4 linked regions of the Canis lupus familiaris genome follow. The protein of the gene in region 4 purifies or fractionates together with the protein of the main gene of each other region. This does not show direct contact. Links are inferred from orthologs where the notes say so. Each region holds a gene or a part of one and is shown on either strand. Other genes may lie near its edges.

Region 1 (3,565 bases), on a different chromosome or scaffold from region 4:
GTGACACACAGCTAAGATGCAGAGTTGCCAAGCAGCACATTGAAAGTGCCATTCCATTTTCACTAGAGAAAGGGATTGCAGTGAAGAGGTTCACTTTCAGTTTAATTTCATTTTGTCTCATACAGTTCTAATTTAGTACCTGCTAATAAAAACATTTATTTTTTAAGATTGTATTTATTTATTCATGGAGACACAGAAAGAGAGAGGCAGAGACACAGGCAGAGAGATAAGCAGGCTCCATGCAGGGAGCCTGATGTGGGACTCCATCCTGGTACTCCAGGATCACACCCTGAGCCCAAGGCAGACACACTTAACTGCTGAGCCATCCAGGAGTCCTGAGAATAGAATTTAGAAGTATGATGTCTTATTTTTTTCTAAGTGAAATATAAAGTGTCAGATTATCATATTGTGAATATGAAAACTGAAAAATAGAGTCTTCAACAGTACTGTTCTTTGCTTCTTTTCAAATGTAAGATTTAATGTTTTTATATATTGGGTAGCTTATAATTATAAGTAAATATAAGTACTTAAAGGTTTTTTTTTTTATTGAAATTCCAGGTTGTAGCTGCTTGTGCCATGCCAGTAATGAAAGGTTGGAATATCCTAACAAACTCAGAGAAATCTAAGAAAGCCAGGTACTTTAATGTTACTTAGCATAGTAACTTTTCCTATAGTGGAAAATTGCTCATTTCAGAATTTAGACCTCCTATAGATGAAAAATTCAGTAAAAAGCTCTGAAAAAGTTGGCAGGTTGGGCTCATAGGAGCATTGGAAATAAGTACACAGTAAGGAGGTTAAGCCAGGTGTTCATGCTTTTGAGCCTAGAATGGAATTAGCACTAACAGCTCTTATTTAGTAACTTTTTCAACTTGTGATGAATAATGAATCTGGGGCTTATTGAACTGAGATTATTTCAGTAACATATTACTATATTGTATAGGCACTGATTATATTTCTTTTTGCTGTGCATTTGCTTTTATTTTGAATTAATGTGAATGATTTCTGAAGACCATTCAGCAACTTTGGGTAATTTTGTATTGTTAACAGTCATAATTTTCTATGTTCTGTAATGATATTTTATTCCTAGACTTATATAAACATTTTTTTAGATTGTGTCTAATACTAGAATGATGGTTGCATTGGCATTTCTGATAATAAATGCAAGTTTAATACTATATGAAAGGATGATACAATATCATTTTACATATTAAAATTTTCCATACAGAGAAGGTGTGATGGAGTTCTTATTAGCAAATCACCCACTGGACTGTCCTATTTGTGACCAGGGAGGTGAATGTGATCTGCAGGTATGTCGTCTAACTTCATAAATCTTTTTTGGTTGTCTCCGGTTTTGATTTCACTAGCAGCATTAGATTAATTCTCTCAATCTACTTAAGGACCAATCCATGATGTTTGGAAGTGATAGGAGCCGATTTTTAGAGGGAAAACGTGCTGTGGAGGACAAAAACATTGGACCATTGGTAAAGACCATTATGACTAGATGTATACAGTGTACTCGCTGCATCAGGTAATGATTTTCCTTCTGTCTTCTGGAATATCATTCACATACTTAATATTCACAAATTTGATGGAATAACAACAATAGAAAAAATGGCAACATTTTTTGGTGGGAGAAGAGGCATGTTTTTAATGTTTCCTGCATAAGTAAATAAAATGAATTGATCGCTTTCAATAAATATCAATTTGCATTGAATTTACAAATCAAAAGCTGTAAGCATTCACTCTGATAACTTGTTGAGCTATATACGTGATTTGTGCAATTTTCTGTGTGTTACACTGCAATTAACTAACATACAAACATTTATTGAACTCTCTTTTATTCAAGGACTGTTTACCTTTGAAAATATAGTTGTGTGTTTTTAGTGTTTTGAAAATCATTATCTCTTTGTGATCATAGATAGGAAAGGAGGTAATTTTGCTGGATTTGACCATTTGACAGTACATTTTTACCTTGCAGGTTTGCAAGTGAGATTGCAGGAGTAGATGATTTGGGAACAACAGGCAGAGGAAATGATATGCAGGTTGGCACGTACATTGAAAAGATGTTCATGTCTGAACTGTCTGGCAATATCATTGACATCTGCCCTGTAGGTGCCCTGACCTCTAAGCCCTATGCTTTTACTGCCCGCCCTTGGGAAACAAGGTATTCATTGTTGATTTTTTGATAATTTGTTTTTTGTCCTTTAATTGACCATTGTTCAAAAAAATTTAAGATTCATGTCCTTCCTATATTCTGATTGTTTTGGTCTGCTAAGTTTTTATGTATTTAAGTACAATCCTCTTACTGGAAGGTAAGTAGATAGATTAAAGGACAGGGTGAACCTGTGTAAATCAATTATAGTTTTCTTGGAAATTAATTCCCAAGTACTTAACCACACAATTATTTTATTCACTTGATCTTTCAAAGAGTAAAATGAGCTTGATTTTTAAAAGATAGTCTCCTCATTGTATGTTTTCAACCATGTGCAGATATATTTTAGTCAGTTCCTATTATCAGACATTTAGTTTGTTTCTGTATAGTTGTAAATCTGTGGTAAAAATTGTTATCGTGGTGCCAGGTAGCTCAGTCAGTTTAGCATCCAACTCTTAGGTTTGGCTCAAGGTTTGTGAGACCAAGCCCCACATCCGGCTCTGTGCTCAGCACAGAGTGCTTCAAATTTTCTCCCTCTCCTAGCTTTCTCTCTCTCTGTCTCACTCTCCCCTCCCCCCACCCCATCTCAAATAAATGAATAAAATCTTTAAAAAAAATTGTTAAAAATTTTCTTACATATCTCTGCTTTATTTTATTTTTTTTATTTGACAGAGAGTGAGCGCACAAGCAGGGAGAGTGGCAGGCAGAGGGAGAGGGAGAAGCAGGCTCCCTGCAAAACAAGGAGCTCAATAAGGGGCTCCATCCCTGGACCCTGATCCTAGGAGCCTGGGATGATGACCTGAGCCAAAGGCAGACGCTTAACTGACTGAGCCACCCAGGAGTCCCTATATCTCTGATTCTTCTTACTAAACTGAGAAGTGGAGTAGGTAGTTGCAATGAGTTTGAATATTTTTAAGGTCCTAGAAATATATCATTAAATTACCCTCCTGTTTTTAAACTTCCACTGGAGTATATGAGAATATCTTAGAATTCTAGGTTTTTAACCACGTATTTATGTATATTAAAGGATTATGGGGATGGGGCACAGTATGTACCTGAGATTTTTTTTTTTAAGATTTTATTTATTTATTCATGAGAATACACAGAGAGGAGAGAGAGAGAGAGGCAGAGACACAGGCAGAGGGAGAAGCAGGCTCCATGCAGGGAGCCCGACGTGGGACTCCATCCAGGGTCTCCAGGATCAGGCCCTGGCCTGAAGGTGGCGCTCAACTGCTGAGCCACCTGAGCTACCCGTAGCTGAGATGTTTAAGTAGAGATTTTTCTCTTTTTCTTTTAAGACCCCCATAATGCAAGCAGAAAAGAACTTCCATCTCTATAGCTTACCCTAGCCTGATAGAACCTGTTCAAGGTGGGAGGGAAGGGGATGAGAACAGGCCCCAAGCCACACTACCA
Region 2 (4,333 bases), on a different chromosome or scaffold from region 4:
TTAAGTCCAGGCAATTATCTTTTAAACGAGATTTGTGCCTTGCAACTTGTCTGTGGCCAACATATATAACAGGTGCCAAATAAAAGTTTACTGAATGGGATGCACACTGGTAGCTTAGCAACAGAAGAAGAAATGGGACCATCTTCATTCATTCTGCCTTTCTAAGGGAGTTAATATACAACTATTACTTACCAGGCAACATATACAACTTTCTCCTTACAGAATAAAACAATTATAGAATAGAAGGGAATGGAATAGAAGGGAATGATCACATATAAAAATTACTAATTCTTAAAGGGCAAGCTGTTGATTAAATATTTGAAGCTTTCTTTTTTTTAAGATTTTATTTATTCATGAGAGACACACAGAGAGAGAGAAAGAGGCAGAGACATAGGCAGAGGGAGAAGCAGGCTCCATGCAGGAAGCCTGATGTGAGACTTGATCCTAAGACCCCAGGATCACGACCTGAGCCAAAAGCAGAGGCCCAACCTCTGAGCCACGCAGGTGCTCCAAATATTCGAAGCCTTAAAGAGAGATCCAGCATGTTCTGCTCAACTCTTGTCTGCCTCGTAAGAGTTCTGTCTCCACAGTTGGCTAGTTGCTAGCAGAGAGACCATGGTCATTTTTGTGCTCCTAGAACACCAAACACAGGACCTAACACTTAATACTAATAGCTAAACTTTTATAAAGATCTTCCACAAATTAGAAAACTTTTTCAGATGAATTAACCCTAAAAGCCTTGCAAGGTAAGTGTAGTATCTATCTACATTTTATAGACAATGACTTCAAAGTCCAAGAAGAGATTAAGTGACAAGATAAGTGGCCAGGTATCCTATAACACCACAGCCACCAGAAAAGGCTGATATATGTTAATTGAATCAGCTATCCCTTGAAATATCATTTTTCTTTCTAAGATTGTAACACCATTATCTGTTGCTATGATAAATGATTGTACTGCCACTTAAGATTGATAGCTTTGCTAGAAAACAGATACTGTCATTTAGGCTTGACCAGGTTAGTTAACTTTTAACTTCGTATATCAGTGATTCTCAAACTTTAAGAGGACTACGAATTGGGGAGCTTGGTAAAAATAAAGATCCTTGGGCCACCATGATCTCTAGAAATCCTGATTCAAGGGACCAGGAATCTGCATATCTTAATAAGCACTCTCAGCTGATTCTAATGGTTGTAGTCTTTAGAGACACTTTGAGAATTGAACTAGACTTCCGAAACTTAATCTACTCCCCCCAATTATTTTAATCAAGCCAATTTTTTTTTACAGTTTTAAGTATTTAAGCAAAATCTTACAAAAACAATCCAAGCCTACCACATCTAACAGGAAAGGTCCTCAAAAATGTTTACTACACCAAACTTCTCTAGACCTCAGGAGCCTGCAGACCGACCTCAGGCCCTGCATGGAGCCTGTTTCTCTCTCTGCCTGTGTCTCTGCCTCTCTCTTCACATAGTTGATGAGTTCAACTATGACTGCAACGTAATTTAGTAAAACATTTTTGTAAGTCCTACAAAAACGACTGGATGTTAAATAGTAAAAGGGAACCAGTTAACTCTGAACCTGACAGAAATAATAATTAAACGCAATTTGAATAATTAATAAAGTAATCATAAGCCAATAACTTTTAAATCATCAACAGTACAAGCCCATTTAAAACTTTAAGTGACCATCAAAATGTACTAACTATAAGATTATGGGTGACTTTTTCCGCACTATTAAATATTTATTGAGAGTTGACACAGTAGGTTTCTGTATTCTTCGAATTTTCTACAATAAGCAGATTTTATTCACAATTATCAAAGTTCTAGAAGTACTTATTAATCCTGTAACCTTCACATACGTAATAGGAAAACAAGAATAACCTGTAACCACATTTATCATAAACCATAAACACCAAAACACCTGGCTTTAAGGTTTCAATCTGTAATCATTATTTTTCACATTAATACCAGATCACTTAACCTCTAAAATTTAGACTGTCCCATTTCGACCAGGTATGTCATTAGTGTAGTTAGCCTGACTTTTTAAAATCCCCTTGTCATCCACTCTGTGGATCTATTTAATAGGTGGAACTTCTTTGTATTGAGAACTGAGGCATTAAAATATTTACACTCTTATTAGGGAGAAGAGGGAACAGACCATTGTTTAAAAAAAAAAAAAAAAGGATATTTTTATCATTGTGAGTATTTATGTAGGAAACTTGGAGCCAAGCTAGGAGGGGCTTTCTCCAACAGCCCCGTCTCGGAGGTAAATGTCACAGGAAGCCGCAGGGGCGAGCTCGCGGCAGGTGAGGAAATCTCAGCTCGAATACGACGCAAGCGGCTGTTCCCGCCCGGTGCGCGGTGGGCGACCCTGGCAGCGGCCGCGAGGGCCGCGGGCTTCCGCGCCCCCTTCTCGGCAGTCCCCCGCCCCCACCGCGGGGCCGAGCGGCGGCCTCCAGGGTGCGCGGGCCCGGGCCGCCCGCGGGGGTCGGGGCGCGCCCGCCGCGGCCGCCGGGACCCAGGCCAGGCCGAGGGCTTCCCGGCGGCGCGGGGCCTAGTCGCCCCGGCCTCGCGCCTCGCGGGGACGCGGAGGGAAGGCTCGAGGCCCGAGCCGCGGGCTGGCGGAGGCGGCCGCCGAGCCCCTCATGCGGCGGGAGGCCGGGGGTCCCCCGCGCCGCGCCAGACTCACCTCGAGCCGCGGCCGCCGCCTCAGCATGGCCGGGGGGCCGCGCCTGGGCCGACAGCCTCCTCCGGAGGGCGCCGCCGCGACGCCTGCCGCTCCTGAAGGGCTTGCGGCCGCCGCTGCTGCTGAGGCCCAGCGCCCGCCGAGCCGCATGGGGCTCACGGGCCGCCGCAGCACGCGGGTCCCGGAGGGGCGCCGCTGAGCCGGGCCGGGCGCGGGGCGGCGGGCGGCGGGCGGGGGGCGGCGGCGGAGCCTCCAGCGTCGCCGTGGCCGCTCCCGCCGCCGGCGCCGCTGGCCCACAGCGCCCCCTGGGCCCCACGGCCGGCTACGGCGCGGGGACTGCGGCGGCCGCCCGGCGCGAGCGGCGGGGAGGGCGGGGGCTCCGGGCGCGGCGCTGCCCTCGGAAGCCCGGCCCCCGCCCCGGGCCGCGAGCGCCCGGCCCTCCCCTTCTCCCCCGAAGGTGCGCGGGCGGCCGTCACCGCGCGTTCTCGTCAGAGCGGGCCTGAGGGGCGCTGCGGGCTTCCGTCGCTCGGGGGGCGACGGCCCCCTGAGCCCTTCCGTGGGTGTGCGTGTAGGATGCGGACCCAGCGCCAACCTTGCGTCCACGCGCCCGTGCAAAACCCGCGCCCATAGCACCTGAATGGTCTTTGACCTTAACTTCTGGATCTGCTGTGCAGAGCGGTACAGAAATTTCCGACGGGTACCAGGTCCTTAATCCCAAACCGACCCCAAATTAGAAAAAAACATAATATGCCGAGCAAGAGAATAGCCAACGGGTTGTCCTGAAATTCATAAACAACTTAAAGGTAAGAACCACCCCCCCCCCGTCGTCTACGTTACCCCCCACCCCACCCCACCCCACCCCCACTCTTCCGCCCCGACCGCAGTCAGACCCCGGGTCGGGCCCTGAGGGAAGGAAGTGGGCGCGTCGCGCGGCCTGCGGAACCCTTCTGTTTGCGGGGATCCCGTGCGGCCCCCCTCAGCCTCGGGATGCACACGCCAGAACCGAAAGCAGGAGAAACCAAAAGACCGTCGGAAGGGAAGGAAATCCTCCAGATCGCCTGGGCCCAAACTCTCCAGTAACAGGACACTTTTGTCCTGGAGCGCTGTGGCGGATGGGCAAGCAGGGACCTGGCGGCGCGGGTTAGCCGGTGACCCTGGGCAGGTTACCTCCTATTTCTGAACCTGGGGTTTCTCGTGCCTGCCGTGCTGGTTGTTGTGAAAATGGGAGGTAATTTATGTGAAGAACTAGCCCAGAGAAGTAGCTTCTCAATGTTAGTTCCAGTTATTGTTGGTTCCAAAACACCCTCTCAGTCTTTCTTAAATTCAAGATTGTTCCCATCTGTTTTTGTTCTTTCTCTCTCAATCTCTGTGTAAATATATCCCTTTCAAAACATGAGTGCATCAGAAAAGGGAGGAAAAAAAAAAAAAAGATGGTGCATTGTTCTTTATTGTCCCTGGTCTGGGTAAAATTTTCCTAAATTTCATTAATGGATTTATGTAATTTCCCTCCACTGAGGAAAAATAGAGCCTAATACACTAGATGCTATAACATTCTATTGCAAAGCAGATTTTAGCGTAAAGCTAGTATACTTTTCTGTATATAAAAGTTATAAGGCAATCTCACCTTAGGTTATGTCCTAATAATAATCTTAA
Region 3 (3,565 bases), on a different chromosome or scaffold from region 4:
TCTGAATGTACATAAAAAGTACTTTCCCTTTGTTGCTTGACTTAATATAGTTGAAGATTATTTCAGAATCACTTCCCTCTTTTTTTAATTTTATTATTATGTATGCTGCTCTATGTTAGGAACAAAAAATATAAATTGCTATTCCAAACATGAGGATTTCACTTTTGTGATTGTTTTCTATAATGTGCCCTAAATTTGCATTTTAAAAATGTCTAGGGACCCTACTTAAAAAAATATTTATAGGGGTGCCTCATTGGTTAAGTGTACAACTCGTGATTTTAGCTCAGGTCTTGATCTCAGGCTGGTGGGTTTAGGCCCCAACTTGGGCTCCCTGCTAGTTGTGGAGCCTACTTAAAAAACAACAATAAAACTTAAAAAAAATATTTGTAGTCTCATTAAACAGATCAAATTGTGATACTGCATTTTAACCAATTAATGCTACAATAATAACGTTGAGAATTTCCAGATAGCTTAGAAAATAGTTTAATTCCAGTCCTCTGACTAACCTAAAAGCAGAGGAAGCTCTGACGTTGTTACTTCATTGATTGCCAGGCACTTGGTTTGCATCCTATTTGAAAGGCATTAGTTAGGAATTTTTGTTCTGCTATTTTGAAATTATGATGGCCAATCTTCCTTCTGATTAGTAGTACTAATATTAGATCAGATGATGATATGCTAGTCTGATTTTTTTTTAAAGATTTTATTTATGTATTCATGAGAGACACACAGAGAGAGTCCGAGACATAGGCAGAAGGAGGAGCAAGCTCCCCACAGGGAGCTTGATGTGAGACTCTATCCCAGGACCCTGGGATCATACCTGGAGCCAAAGGCAGACGCTCAACCACTGAGCCACCCAGGTGCCCTGCTGGTCTGATTTTTGATTAGTATATGTATATATCTTTTCATCCTTTAATTTTTCATTTATCTGTGTCCTCATGTTTAAAATAGATGTCTTGAGGCATCTCCCTGCCTCAGTTGAAAGAGTATGCAACTCTTGATCTTGGGGTTATGCGTTTGAGTACCATGTTGGGTGTAGAGATTACTTTAAAAAAAAAAAAAAAAGGTGTCTTGTAAGTAGCATATTGTTAGGCTTCGCCTTTTTTTTTTTTTTTAAATCCAGTTGACCAATCTTGTTTTGCTGTGTTTAGACCAACAAGTTTTTTCCCTTTTTAAATAAAGGACCAGAGAGTAAACATTTTATTTGGTCTTTGTGGTCCCACTGGTCTGTGTCATGTACCCATTCAATTTTGCCATTGTAGTATGAAAGCAGACTTGGGCAGTATGCAAATATCAATCTTGTCTGTATTTCAAGAAACCTTTATTGACAGAAATAGGCAGTGGGCCAGATTTGGCTCAAGGACTCTAGTTTGCCACCTGGTTTACCTTTTATACTCAGTGTAATCACATTTTCATTGGATGAAAATCTGTCCTCCTGGTTGTTTTGTATTTGTTCTATCTGTTCTTTGTGGGGTATTTTGTTTTGTTTTTCTTTCTCTGCTCTCCTTTGAATTAGTTATTTTTCTATGATTGTATTTTATCTCCACTACTGGTTTATTTATGCCTTTTTGTAGTGATTGCCCTAGAATTTAATATGCATCTCCAGTTATTTACCCTCCAAATTATTTTATCTCTTTATGTATAATGTATGAACCTTAAAATAGTGTAAGTTTTCCAACTCTTGCCTCCTGTTCTCTGTGCTATTGTCATACATTTTACTTTTACATTATTTTATTTTTAGATTACATTGGAGAGAGACTTTGCAAACTTTAGTGTTTAAATTACTCTTTAACAACCCTCGCTGTTAAGGTTTGTCATAGTAAGTTGTTAGAGTCATTAATTTGTGTGACTCACAGGAGTTAAACAAAGAGAGGCAGTAAGTAAAAAAGCCTTAGCCTGACAAAGATTGCTAGAAGAGATCCTCAGACAGCTACAGAGTAACATTTTATCCCATCTGTACCATTCACAATTTTTCTTTTAATTACTCTTACTGGAAAGTCTAATTTTGTTTTTTCTCCATGTGCTATATAATGAGCATTAGAGCCAGATATTCTGCTTTTATCTGACAGACTGAAGATTTCTCCAGTTCTTACATTCTGGATTCTTAGATGTGTATTTCAGCTTTGAGTTTTTTAGGCAACAGAGTAATTGGTAACTTTATAATTTTTACATATATAGATAAAGCCAGTAGTCTCTCATGTTGCATTACTGTGCCTCTTTTTCATAGACATAAGATTTCTTTCTTTCTTAAGACATAGAGAATATAAGTAATGTATTCACTACTTAAAATTAGTTGGTTTTTCCTTCAAGAAACTTTTTTTTTTTTGTAGTACTTGTGTGGTAGTAATCGAAAAGACAACATATTTATTGATCCAGGATACCAAACATTTGAGCAAGAATTGAATAAAATACTCCGAAGTTGGCAACCCAGCATACTTCCAGATGGTAATACTCTTTTTATTTTTTTAAAAAGATTTGGTAATTTATTTTAGAGAGCACACATGCATGCGAGTTGGAGGAGGGGTCAAAGGGAGAGGGTAAGGGAAAGAGAATCTCCAGTAGATTCTCTGCTGAGTGTGGAGCCCCATGCAGTACTCCGTTTTATGACCCTGAGATCATGACATGAGCTGAAGTCAAGAGTCGAATGCTTAACCAACTGAGCCACCCAGGTGTCCCTGTAATGCCTTTTAAATAAGGAATTCCATTGCTAACTTGCTGCTGGGATTTTTATTTTTACAGGAAGCATATTAGAAATAATTAGGGAATAATTTAAATTAGATGGCATATTTTTCAGTATACCTATTGATGAACTTACTGTTCATCTTTTGTTGAGTTAGAAATGAATGTAGTTGATAACTACTGTTTATGAAGAATTTTGTAATAAATGTGACCCTCTTTCTCTGGAGTAAGACACTGGATGTTTATTTCATAAGGCCTCTAGGGGATAATATTGTAATGTAAATTTCTCTAAGAAATCTGTTTTAGGTGTGTGAAGAAAATATGTTTGTGAATGGAAATCAGCGATCTTTTTTCAGGAATTCTACAGGTTTAAATTCCTTTCTGACCTTCTGTGCTTGTCCTACAGAAGAACAGAAGCAAACATCTAGCCCCTTACTCCAGAGATGCTAGTTCCATAGTCTAGTGTGTCTCTCCTAGCCTCTTTTTTTAAAGAGCTGCATAGGGAATTCTGAAATTCATTCCAGTTTTGACCTGGTGTGAATGGAGGATTGGAATAAGTTTGTTCTTGAATTAACTTTATTTTTTAGATGATTAAATTAAAATTGTTTTATTTATTGTAATTCTTTAAAAATGTTTCTCTTTATTTAAGGGTCAATTTTTTCTCGAGTTGAAGAAGATTATCTCTGGAGGATAAAACAGCTAGGGTCACACTCTCCTGTAGCTCTTCTGAATACCCTGTTCTACTTTAACACTAAGTATTTTGGCCTGAAAACAGTGGAACAACACTTAAGACTTTCCTTTGGCACTGTATTTAGGCACTGGAAAAAAAATCCTTTAACAATGGAAAACAAAGCATGTCTTCGATACCAAGTGTCTTCCTTATGTGGAA
Region 4 (4,007 bases):
CAAGAGCAAGGTCCCATCACCATCCCTAGTCCGCTCCAAGCTGGAACTGAGCACAGAATTGTACCCAGCGGGTAATACAGTGGTTGGGGTGGTTTGGTGTTTGAAGCCAGGGCCCTTCATCCAGTGAAGCTGCCCGAGGTTGTGCTTCCTACCCTCACCAGCTGGGAGCTGGCATGCTTCCCCTTTAGCCAAGAACTAACTTGCTCTCTCCTCGCTGTCTTCATACCTGCTCGTCGGCTCTCCCCTTCCACTCCCTGCCTGCGCTGCCTCAGACTCACCAACCTTTCCAACTCTCAACCAAGGCATCATCCTGTTCCCCTCAGCTCCACTCACTGTCCTCCTGGTGTCTCAGACTCAGATCCCTCCTCTGCATCCCACAGCCATTGTCCTAGACCAGGTCACCCATCCCAGGTTGCCAGAGTGACTGTCCCAACATGCGTGTTGGGTCATGTTTCTGGGTTCTAATCTCACGCTGTTGCCCACAGAACAAGTGCATCTCCTTAGCCCTGATCCTGCTCATGGGTCCCCTCTTAAATTTGAAAATAATGAAAACCGGTTTCTTTTTAAGATTTTATTTATTTATTCATGAGACATCACACACACACAGAGAGAGGGGCAGAGACACAACACAGGCAGAGGGAGAAGCAGGTTCCATGCAGGGAGCCCGATGTGGGACTCGATCTGGGGTCTCCAGGATCACACCCCGGGCTGAAGGCAGGCGCTAAACCGCTGAGCCACCCGGGCATCCCTGGAAACTGGTTTCTAAACAGACTCTCCTGTTTCAAACCTCCATGCCTTTGCTCGTGCTGTTGCAAGCGTTCCCCATCCCCAAGTTCCTGCACGTCCCAGCTGAGATCTCCTTTCCGGCCTGCCCCTCTGCAGCGTGCAAACCTGTTTGGGTGACTGCTCTCGCTTAGACCTGGGTTCTTCCAAAGCAGGCCCACCTGTGGCTCCTGTCTGTGCCCGGGGTCAAGCCAAGGGCGGCCCGGCCTCCCTCCCGCTAGGCCAGGCCGCGGCCGGGTTACCCCCAGGTCGGCTGAGCATCTTCTCTCCTCCCCTCCTCCCTCCGGCTCGGGGCGTGTCTCCAGACCCCCCCTCCCCGGCCCTAGAACCGCCCCCCGGCTCTGTCTCACTTCCTCCGGGGAGGCGGGCCCTGAGTGGGGCCGTCCCTCCCACGGGCTCCGGCGACCGCGATCCGGTCCCTGCCTCTCGGTTTCGCTTCTCCTCCCCCCTCAGGCTCAAAACCCAGAAGCGAAACTGTGCTGGGATCCATGCAGCAGGAGCCCGCGCCCCCCCGCTCTCCGGCGCCCGGGCAGGACCCCGCACCGTCCGGGGCGCCCAGCATGCCTCCCCCGGAGCCCGCCTCCGAGGGCCACCAGCCCAGCCCCAGCCGCAGCCCCGCGGAGGTACCACTGGGCTTGGGGAGGTGGGGTGGAGGCTTGGTTGATGGCTTCGGGAAAGGGAGGGGACAGCGAGGCCAGGCACCTCCCCAGAGTGACCCAGAGAGAAAGCCAGACACTGGGCCCCGACCCTCGGGGCAGCTGAGAGTGGGAAAGGGTACCAGGGTGAGCTGGGGGGGCCTCGGGGCTGGCATGCCCCACGGACAGGGGGCAAGGTGCTGAGGGCCTGGACTCATCTGCCCACCCTGGCGACTTGCCCCCCTGAGCCTCAGATGAAGGTCCAGGGATTCGGGGGATGGCGGGGTAGCCCTGGGGAGCAGGCCGAGAGCCAGGGGCATGTCCCAAGTGTGGAAAACCAAAAGCCGAGTTCCCAGATCAGGAAGTGGGAACCTGGCCCAGACGAGAGAAGTGTCTTGGCTAAGGCCTCACAGCTCTTGGGGTGGCTTCTCCGCTAGGATACCTACCTCCAAGATCCTTCTGTTGGAACACCCTGTGTGCCCTCCACCCCCGCACCCCCACCCTGGGTCCACAAAGGGTGTACTGGGGCCTCTTCCGGAAGCTTGCCTGGGTCTGCTCCGGGTTTCCTGGGGCCTCTTCCCGGAAGCTTGCCTGGGTCTGCTCGGGACAAGCTCCCCAGCTGCCCTCCTGCCCCAGAGGAGCTACTTCACATCTCATGCAGTGTGTTTTCCCAGGCCCTTCATGAAAGCACCATCCTGCAGTAACTTCTATTCTGTGCATTATTACAACTAGGAATCGTACTACTTCCTTGTGAACATTCCTCGTGGGCCAGTACTTTATTAAGCACTTTTTCCCCCTTTTTTTTTCTAGAAAATATCCATAATATTAAAATTACCATGTTTTTAACATTTTTATTTCTTCTAAGTAATCTCTACGCCCAGCATGGGGCTTGAACTTAACAACCGCAGGATCCAGAGCCTCGTGCTGCGCTCACTGAGCCAGCCAGGTGCCCCAAAAACTTAACGGTTTTTAAGTGTACATTTCAGTGGCATTGAATATATTCACAATGTTGGGTAACCGTCAACCACCATCTATTTCCAGAATTTTTTTCATCACCCTCCACAGAAACTGTACTCCCTAAGCAGTAGCTCCTTATTTACCCGCTTCTCCCAGCTCCTGGTAACCTCCACTCTACTTTTCTGCTGCTGTGGATCTGCCGATGCTAGATATTTCATATAAGTGAGCCATCCAATTATTTGTCCCTTCGTGTTTGTCTTATTTTGCTTAGCCTAATGTTTTCAAGGTTCTCATAGCATGTATGAGAATTTACTTCCTTTTCATTTTATTTTATGTTATTTTTGGTAAAGATCTTATTTTTAAGTAACCTCTACACCCAGTGTGGGGCTTGAACTCACAAACCCAAGATCAAGAGTCACATTCTCCACCAACTGAGCCAGCCAGGCGCCCCTTCCTTCATTTTCTTTTTTAAAGATTTTATTTTATTTATATATTTTTTTAAAGATTTTTTTAAAGATTTTATTTATTTGAGAGAGGCAGAGACGCAGGCAGAGGGAGAAGCAGGCTCCTTGCAGGGAGCCCGATATGGGACTCGATCCAGGGACCCCAGGATCACGCCCTGGGCCAAAGGCAGATGCTCAACTGCTGAGCCACCCAGACGTCCCTCTTCCTTCATTTTTAAAAACTGAATGATACTCCATTGCACGCGTAGACCGGTTTTGTTTATCTGTTCATTTGTTGATGGACACTTGGGTTATTTCTACCTTTTGGAGCCTGTGCATGATGGTGCTGTGGACATGGGTGTAAAGTATCTGTTCAGCTACTTGTCTTCAGTTATTTTGGGAAATCTATCTAGGAATGAAATTGCTGGGTTATATAGTACTCCTGTGTTTAACTTCTTCAGGAGCCACCAAACCATATATATTTTTAAGATTTTATTTATTTATTCATGAGAGACACACACAGAGAGAGAGGCAGAGACATAGGCAGAGGGAGAAGCAGGCTCCATGCAGGGAGCCCAATGCGGGACTCGATCCCAGGACCCCAGGATCACGCCCTGAGCCCCCAGGTGCCCCTCCACCAAACCATATTAAGCACTGTTTATGATTTACATGAGATACGCTTCACGTATCTCCTTTCTAGAGCGAGTCCCTTGAAGGTAGGGATTTATGCTCCCATCCTTGGGTGTCCGGGCCTCGTAGTGCCGTGCTCCCTGCAGAGGATCTGGGGGGGGGCTCCGGGATTTCAGGCCTCACCCCACCTCTCTGGTCCCCCAGCAAGCCCTGGAGGAGGAGTTCCAGTTTCTGTGCTGCCAGAGCTGCCAGGCCGAAGCCAAGTGCCCCAAGCTGCTGCCGTGTCTGCACACGCTCTGCTCGGGATGCCTGGAGGCATCGGGCCTGCGCTGCTCCATCTGCCAGGTGCCCGGGCCTCTAGGCGCTGGCTCGCCGGCCCTGGACAACGTCTTCTTCGAGAGCCTGCAGCGGCGCCTGTCGGTTTACAGGCAGATCGTGGACGCGCAAGCTGTTTGCACCCGATGCAAAGAACCTGCGGACTTCTGGTGTTTTGAGTGCGAGCAGCTCCTCTGTGCCAAGTGCTTCGAGGCGCACCAGTGGTTCCTCAAGCATGAGGCTC

The links.
Region 1: the proteins of PML (region 4) and NDUFS1 purify together in Homo sapiens (affinity purification with mass spectrometry; 3 studies listed by BioGRID and IntAct, counting the BioPlex papers as one, with this or other methods). This does not show direct contact. The link is inferred for Canis lupus familiaris from reciprocal best matches to the Homo sapiens genes PML and NDUFS1.
Region 2: the proteins of PML (region 4) and ZFYVE9 purify together in Homo sapiens (affinity purification with western blotting; 3 studies listed by BioGRID and IntAct, with this or other methods). This does not show direct contact. The link is inferred for Canis lupus familiaris from reciprocal best matches to the Homo sapiens genes PML and ZFYVE9.
Region 3: the proteins of PML (region 4) and ZMYM2 purify together in Homo sapiens (affinity purification with western blotting; 3 studies listed by BioGRID, with this or other methods). This does not show direct contact. The link is inferred for Canis lupus familiaris from reciprocal best matches to the Homo sapiens genes PML and ZMYM2.

Annotation. Positions count from the first base shown.
Region 1 is NC_049258.1:14,561,992-14,565,556, reverse strand, and holds part of NDUFS1 (NADH-ubiquinone oxidoreductase 75 kDa subunit, mitochondrial), read left to right. Parts: intron 1-558; coding exon 559-635; intron 636-1,225; coding exon 1,226-1,307; intron 1,308-1,397; coding exon 1,398-1,528; intron 1,529-1,978; coding exon 1,979-2,164; intron 2,165-3,565.
Region 2 is NC_049236.1:9,238,293-9,242,625, forward strand, and holds the start of ZFYVE9 (zinc finger FYVE domain-containing protein 9), read right to left. Parts: upstream 2,818-4,333; 5' UTR 2,684-2,817; intron 1-2,683. UniProt on the Homo sapiens protein: Early endosomal protein that functions to recruit SMAD2/SMAD3 to intracellular membranes and to the TGF-beta receptor.
Region 3 is NC_049246.1:18,126,792-18,130,356, reverse strand, and holds part of ZMYM2 (zinc finger MYM-type protein 2), read left to right. Parts: intron 1-2,327; coding exon 2,328-2,442; intron 2,443-3,325; coding exon 3,326-3,565. UniProt on the Homo sapiens protein: Involved in the negative regulation of transcription.
Region 4 is NC_049251.1:37,672,311-37,676,317, forward strand, and holds the start of PML (protein PML), read left to right. Parts: upstream 1-1,151; 5' UTR 1,152-1,271; coding exon 1,272-1,406; intron 1,407-3,652; coding exon 3,653-4,007.